Linked DNA regions of Coturnix japonica. The protein of the gene in region 1 interacts with the protein of each later gene in a pairwise test. Links are inferred from orthologs where the notes say so. Each region holds a gene or a part of one and is shown in the gene's direction. Other genes may lie near its edges.

Evidence for each region.
Region 2: the proteins of EGFR (region 1) and RAP1GDS1 interact in a protein complementation assay, tested with the Homo sapiens proteins (2 studies listed by BioGRID and IntAct). The link is inferred for Coturnix japonica from reciprocal best matches to the Homo sapiens genes EGFR and RAP1GDS1.

The regions. Positions count from the first base shown.
Region 1 is NC_029517.1:73,939,104-73,942,989, forward strand, and holds part of EGFR (epidermal growth factor receptor), read left to right. Parts: intron 1-396; coding exon 397-513; intron 514-1,053; coding exon 1,054-1,180; intron 1,181-1,279; coding exon 1,280-1,353; intron 1,354-2,486; coding exon 2,487-2,577; intron 2,578-3,050; coding exon 3,051-3,250; intron 3,251-3,811; coding exon 3,812-3,886. UniProt on the Homo sapiens protein: Receptor tyrosine kinase binding ligands of the EGF family and activating several signaling cascades to convert extracellular cues into appropriate cellular responses.
Region 2 is NC_029519.1:53,764,011-53,767,896, forward strand, and holds part of RAP1GDS1 (rap1 GTPase-GDP dissociation stimulator 1), read left to right. Parts: intron 1-1,246; coding exon 1,247-1,375; intron 1,376-3,669; coding exon 3,670-3,797; 3' UTR 3,798-3,886. UniProt on the Homo sapiens protein: Acts as a GEF (guanine nucleotide exchange factor) for the Rho family of small GTP-binding proteins (G proteins) that stimulates the dissociation of GDP to enable subsequent binding of GTP.

The DNA.
Region 1 (3,886 bases):
ACCATGGTCTTTTAGACAAACAAGACTCAAGTGTAAGAGAGGGTTCAGATATAGACCTGCTATCCCTTTCTGAGGTTCATCGTTGCCTTTAGCCTGGAAGGGTGTGTGAAAGTGAGGGTTCAAAAGGGCTGTGTATTGATTCAGATAACAACACTGCTGCAATCTGACTCTCGCAGTGTTGTTTTACCCTTCTGTGATCGTCCTCCTCCATTACAAAATTATAATAGCACTGTATGTCTGTCTACATTCAAAGGATGTGAAAATTAATAATTAATGTCTATGTTTCATGCATGGCCAAAGTTCAAAAAACCTTATTTTTCCTAGTATTGAAGTACCTTTATCACCCCCAGTGCATCTCTCTTGTTTTTCAGTTCTCTGTCATCCTTGTTTTTCCAGACAACTATGTGGTGACAGATCACGGCTCCTGTGTTCGCTCATGCAATACTGATACTTATGAAGTGGAAGAAAACGGTGTTCGGAAGTGTAAAAAATGTGATGGGCTATGCAGCAAAGGTATAAAAATCATGGTGTGAAACAGTAAGGCTTTAGTTGATTGATGATGTCATCAATGGAGTTATGAACTGAATTTAGCCCTCAAATTGCAAATTCAATACCCACATCCACTGCTAGTTTGAAGTTTTGACAGGCTGTTTTCTCAGGAAGTATGGTAGAAGAGCATGCTTCCGCAGGGATATGCTGCAAGTACACTTACACAGATAAACTGCACTTAATGTGTATCCTACACATCAGCCTCTTTTATTTATCCTTCTCGGTGTCTCATCAATGGGAATAAAATGAAAATGGGACCAAGAGAAGGGCATGTGTCAGAGTGTGTATGCAGAGATGCTAGGACCAGGACTGCACAGCTATGCAAGAGAGAAGTGTTTTTCTTTTGGTGATATCTGAAAAGCAGATTTATGAAACTGAACTTACAATGGTAGAATTGTCCAAGTGGAAATGCCTTTTTGAACATCAGGATTTTTGTACGTATTTCCTTATGTGTGATGATGCTTCTCTCTTCTCTACCAAACTTTTGTGTCCCTATTTTAACAGTGTGCAATGGCATTGGAATAGGTGAACTTAAAGGGATTCTATCTATAAATGCCACAAACATTGACTCCTTCAAAAACTGTACGAAGATCAATGGGGATGTCAGCATTCTTCCTGTTGCATTTCTAGGGTGAGTTTCCTGCTGGTCATTGAGAACTAGAAGAGAGGGTCTAGGGAGAAATTCAGGCTGATTCCTTCTTCTCTCAATACCTCTTTCTGTTTGTTTCAGGGATGCTTTCACAAAGACACTACCCCTTGACCCTAAGAAGCTGGATGTCTTCAGAACAGTCAAAGAAATATCAGGTCAGTGACGATGTTATCTGAGCAGTACTGCCAAAAAACTGCCAAAAACATAAAGCAAGAAGAAGTAAGTTCCCAAAGTCAGTGAGTGGAAGTGCAAGCAGATGGTTTCTGTCCTTGAGCTTCTGTGTCAATGCTCACACTGGCAGGTCAGCAGCACCTTGCCAGTGTTACACTCACCCTGCCTCCCATTCAAAGTGTGTGGTTTTTCCAGATCATCCTTCCTGATGAATTGTCAGCCCTACTGAAGACTAAAAGTAGAAGTAATTCTCAGCTACCCAATAAGTGCGGTGATTCAGAGGCATGCCACTCTGTATAAAAATAGCCAGTGTTTCTCTCTGTGGTAATCCGTTCTGCAGTTCCTTAAGGAACAATGCTCACTCTCTTGCATCATCCTCATGGAGACATGTGGAGACACCCTCCCCAACCCAAAGAGCCCTGCCTCGAGATTAGCACAAAGTGGCTGAGAGCAACAAAGTACGAGAGTGCTCTACTGAAATCTTGCAACTTGAAAGTAATTTTGTTCATCCAGTTATAAAACCAATGTAATGTCAGAGTCCATGACTCCAGGTCCACTTTATCTCCTTTGTCTGTCTTTTTGCCTTCAGGGTAGCAGTGACTAACCTCAGAGTTTCATACAGCAGTGTGCAATTTCCAAAATTCTTTCACTTCTACAGAGTATTTCACCTGAACAGAAAAATTTGCATGTCATAGCAAATGCACTCTGAGTTGCTGACAGTTCTGTGCCATTCCTGCTTTATGCCTACTTCTCTTATCAAAGGGCAGCTCACAAAGGGGACAGGACAGTGCCTCCTCATTGTGCAGGGGAGCCCACAGCCCCTCAAACAGGGTATTCTTGTATCAAGGCAGCTCAGCATGGCAGATGCACTGCCCCTGACACACTGTTCTCTGGTGCTCCTGATCCTTATGGTGGACTAAAAAGTAAACTGTTTACAAAACAGTGTTTACAAATATCCCTAAAATGTCATGTTTAATTTTGAGATTCTCAGAAAAGCATGTGGAAAGCACAAGTGCCTTCTCCTGGCACAAGAGAATCTCAAGAAGGACATTTCACCTCCAATACTGACTGTTTGCATTATTATTATTTTTATTTGATCTTCTTTTCTTCATTTCAGGATTTTTGTTGATTCAGGCCTGGCCTGATAATGCTACTGATCTCTATGCTTTTGAAAATCTGGAGATTATCCGAGGCCGAACCAAGCAGCAGTAAGTAAATGACATGCCAGGATCCTTGTAGAAGGAGATCTGTTGGGAACTGCATTTATCTGAGCACACCAGGGTGCCTAGCACTGGGATACATGGGTGTCACAAAATTCATGCAAAACAGGAAATAGCCTGAAAGGTGCTGAGCACCATTTTGGTAGCATTAGAGTAAGATTAAACCCAAAGCTCTGTACTGTTGTTAGAACCTCTATCCAGCACCCGCTTAAGCTTGCCTCAAGTGGAAGAATGACTTTGTGGACCAGCACAAAATAGTTTCTCTGCTTACTGCTATCCTTACACATTATTCATTTGGTGGAGCACATATGTTCTGCTGGATTTAGTTTAAAATTCCCATTAGAAAAAAATGGTTGCACAGCAATATGTACCAAAAGATAAATGCTCCAAGTACAACCCTGTTTACTAATTCTTTTTTTTTTTTTTTTTCCGTGTCTTCTTTTTGTCTGTATTCATTTCAGTGGCCAGTATTCCCTTGCTGTTGTTAACTTGAAAATACAGTCCTTGGGGCTGCGCTCCCTCAAAGAAATAAGTGATGGAGACATTGCCATTATGAAGAACAGGAACCTCTGCTATGCTGACACCATGAACTGGCGCAGCTTGTTTGCTACTCAGAGTCAGAAAACAAAAATTATACAGAACAGAAATAAAAACGACTGTAGTAAGTCAATCTGTTTTCCTGCCCTTGCAAAAGCTCATAATGAAATGGAAGAGTAATTTGATGCAAAATTGATCAACAATAGTGCTTTATTGAAGACAGTGAGGGAAAAGTGGAGTTGGTCCTCCAGGAGATGTGGGCTTCATGGTGATTGTACACCCTGTTATAGATATAGTGACAGACACAGAAGCCAGCTCTAGACATCAGGCTTGTTTTACAAAGTTAATCACTCAGCAATGGTCCCTGGACCAAAGTCTAATTATTTCTCTTTCCAGAATATGAATTTGCTACATACTGGGAATGTATCTCCTCTGGTATTGGTTTTGCTTTACTGTAAGTCTGGTACATGATCACAATGGATCTCATTTGAATTTTGAAAGGCCAGAATTTGCTCCAAAAACAAAGACAAGAAGTCAAACTTCAGGAATTAGGAAAACTGTGATTATTCCTCTTCTACTAGGGTCATTTGTGTCTGCTTTGGAATACTTTGGAAAAAAAATGACTGTCAGGATGGAGTTATTTGCTATTCTCTTGCCCTGAAGTTTATGGCTTCTCTTTTCTCAGCTGCTGACAGGCATGTGTGTGACCCGCTGTGCTCAGATGTGGGCTGCTGGGGCCCAGGGCCCTTCCACTGCTTTT
Region 2 (3,886 bases), on another chromosome or scaffold:
AAACAATAAGTTTATGCCGAAAGTTGATATTTGCTGGTATCTACTTCTCTATTCTGATAGGTGATCACAGAATACAGAACAACCTCCAGGAGATTTCAGATAAAACCCAACAGTTAATAAAATTGTAATTTGGAGTACAGACTGTGACTGAGGCCTGTGTACACTGAAACAGTCAGTCCCCTCTTGAGAGGACTTATCTGAAAAAAGCTTTCACTTACCTAATCAGCAGGAGCTACAGAATACATACAGAGGTGGATGAGGCCCCAAAATATGTCTAGAGTTGCCATATGAAGACAGAGATGATTACATGCTTCAGCTTCATAGAATGGCTTAGGTTGGAAGGTAACAAAAATAACCAGTTCCACTTCCTCCCACCATGGTCAGGGCTGCCTCTCACTAGATCAGACTGCCCAAGATCCCATCCAACTTTGCCTTGAACATCTCCAGGGATGTGGAATCCATAACTTCTCTGGGCAGCCTGTTCCAGTGCCTCACTGCCCTCTGAGTAAAGAGTTACCTCCTAACAAGTAACTTAAATCTCCTCTAAGTGGGGGCTTAATTTGTACTGTTTGTTTGCTTATTAATTAGTATAATGAACTAAACAAGTACCACATACTTTTGTTTTTGATCTCATCTCTTGTCATTGTGTACCCGCAGAATGCTGCATTCAACTTCCAAATCACTGCCAATTATTTCTTTTTTACTGAAAGGAAATGATATTTATGTGAATTTTCTGACCCTTCAGACATCTAAAGGTTTCAAGCCTGAATTCAGTATATTTTCTAGAAAACTTCAGGGGGAAAAAAAATCATACTCTGATCTTGCAAAGCCTTTCACAGTGTTAACAATAGACCTCGAGTTTTCCTACTGTGGAGTCAAGATTTCCCCTGTCAATATTAAATTCAGGCAAATTTTCTAAAAGGAAATTCAGGCAAAGTCTTCTATGCTTAAATGTTGCAAGTGCTAGCCTAAGTAGGTAGAAAGCCAGGCACATTTTCCATCAGCTCACTGTACATTTAAGATTAGATTTTATCACTGAACATAGTGATTGTCTTCTCAAGCAGTTTGGCTATTTTGCACTTTTATAGCGAGAGCTGTGATTCCTATCACCAAACCATCCAACCTGTTCTACTGCAGCACCAGTTTCATTACCAGTTAGAGATCCATGTTTCCATAAAAGGCTGAAACACAAAAGTATCCAATGAAGCACCAATTCCAGTTTCACAAGTTTTCACTTGTATTTCAGTCACTGCTGAAAAGGATCTTGAAAATGCTCAGCTTGTTCAGATTCTACACAGACTGCTATCAGATGACAGGAGTGCTCCAGAAATAAAATATAACTCCATGGTGCTGGTCTGTGCCCTTATAGGATCTGGTGAGTACTTGAGAGGGACTGCTTTCCCAAAACAATTATATAATTAATCTTTCTGTAGATTAAACGTAGGGCACGTGCAAATGTGCAAATACACTGAGACCAGTTCTCCGTTTACTATGAGTGTTCGCAGAATGGCTCAGTTTACTGTGACACTTTATAGGGTCTAGAAAAAGAGGCTGTTCATTCTGTTTTGGATATTAACTACAGAAATCAGATTCTGGCTTCTGCAGGAAGCTCCTGGAAATTTAACAGGAAAAAAAAATGAAAGACATTTTAAACTGTACAGTATTGGGCTCTCTGTGCAAGCACATGGATAACAAGTTAATTTTCGCCTTTAGCTGTAAGTTCCCTGTAACTGATGTATGACGGCTGGTTTGCTGTTTTTCAACTTACACAAGTAAAATTAAGTGGAAGAGAAGTTTGCAAGGTACCTCTTGACTTTAAATTCCTCCAAGAATTGCAGGAAGTTTAAAAAGATAAGAAATACTTGCAGAGACACATACAAATGAGAACTTAGTACAACATGTTGATGTAGTCCTGCCCTAGGAGGGATCCTCACTCTCCTTGCTAGGAAGGGTTCTTCCCTTGGCAGCCCAAGCATGCTCCAGGCACAACTGACTTTGTGGTGATAAACAGGAGGTGTTCCAACATGTGCCTCTGCTGGAAGTGCTGATGCAGGGAACGGAGCACATTTGATCTTCAGTTAAGGATTCAAGAAGTGGCTACATTTCTTTCACTCACTGTGATGTTCTTATGCGCACTTACAACAAAAACTGTCACCCTCAGAAGTTTTGCCTGACCCTTGCATTTTCATTTCTCCAAGTCACGTCACCTGCAAGATTGACTGACAGTGTTATTTAAAGTCAAACAACTGTCTCGCTATTCCACCAGAATAAGGGTGCAGTCTTCCCTTGTTTTTTCAGGGTTATCCAAGTGGCAGAGATTGTTCTGCCACCACACTGTAAACTTTGCCTAGACATGAGGCATCTTGGCATTCTCCCAGGGAGCAGACAGCACATTATTGCAATGCACAGCTGTGAAGAAGTCAGAGCTGCTCCAATGTTCAGCCCTGCTTCCTCATGAATAGACCCGTGTAAAAATAGCCAGTATATAAGAGCAACAACTGAGCAACTCTGGTATTAAGTTTTGTTTACGCAGCAAGTCACAGCAAGCTCCTCAAAGGCAGTTCAGTAACACTGCTTATGCTTGATGATATCTTAGAAAGGGGAATGGAAAGTGCCTGCACAGCCTAAGCACCCAACAGCTTCACTGACACTGCTCAGTATATACTGGTTCCCAGGTGCACAGCAGCATGAGAGCTCCCAACACACAAAGACAGGGATAACTACAAGAAAAAAAGAAAACCCAGTGAAAACGTGTGAACAAGAAAGTAAGAAGAGAAAGAAATGCCCAAGAGTGTTGTAAGGAAAAGCCGTAAATACGCATAGCATATATAGCATAGCTAATCTGAAACAGCTGGTTGGAATTCCTCCTGGGAAGCTCAGGGATTAAGCCCCCAGCAGCACCTGGGAAGCAAAAAATACATGTAGGTGTTTGTTGCTGAGTGAGTTCACTAGAATGGACTAAACAGGACATGAAACAAAACCAGCTGCTTTGGCTCTTAACTGTGGGAAGTCTAGAGCATAGGGCTTTGAATAAGCTCCCTTCCTTTCCTTTCTGACATCAAGTAGAATGCTATCCAGGATAGGAACCATGAAATGGCCTCAAAGTTTCAAGTCAAACATAAATGCTGTATATATACACATAACATTACCTGGTGTGCTGTACTTGTGACAAGTACAGAGCTGAACTGTAAAATGGCCACCTACCAGTGATGAGGTGGTGACATATCCTCTTCACGCTCTCACAACCAGCCAGAGCTGATTTGATACAGACGAGCTATGCAGTGAACCCTTCAGGCGAACTTGCTCACTCCATCAAAATAGTTTAAGGAATCAAACAAAAACATTCAATTAAAAAAATTCTTAAGCATCTTTTTTGGAAGGCATTCCAGGTAGATTTTTGTAACTGTTATGCATAGTTTGCTATGCAGAAACTTCATCCTTCATCTCTACCTGAAATATGGGGGTCTGTGCAAGCTCAAAGCCTCAGAGATTTCCTCTATTCTTAAAAGCAATTCAAAACAGTAAATAAAAAGATTACATTTGTGGGCTTATACAAATACAATGGGCACGGGGTAGTGCTGACACTTTCCTAAGTGCTTCACACCATGCTTTGCTGTTCTCTTGCACATCTCATACAAAGAACTGTTTCTCCTACCATTTCTTTTCCAGAATCTCTCCAAAAGGAAGTGCAGAACATGGCGTTCCTAGAAGTCGTATCAAAACTCCGCAGCCATGAGAACAAAACTGTTGCCCAGCAGGCCTCGCTAACAGAGCAGAGACTTGCTGTAGAAAGCTGAGGAAGGTCTTGTTTTCATTGCATCCATCACAGATTCCACCTTCATCCTTTGTCCTGCTGTCGCTCCTGCTATGTTTTCCACTGTATCAC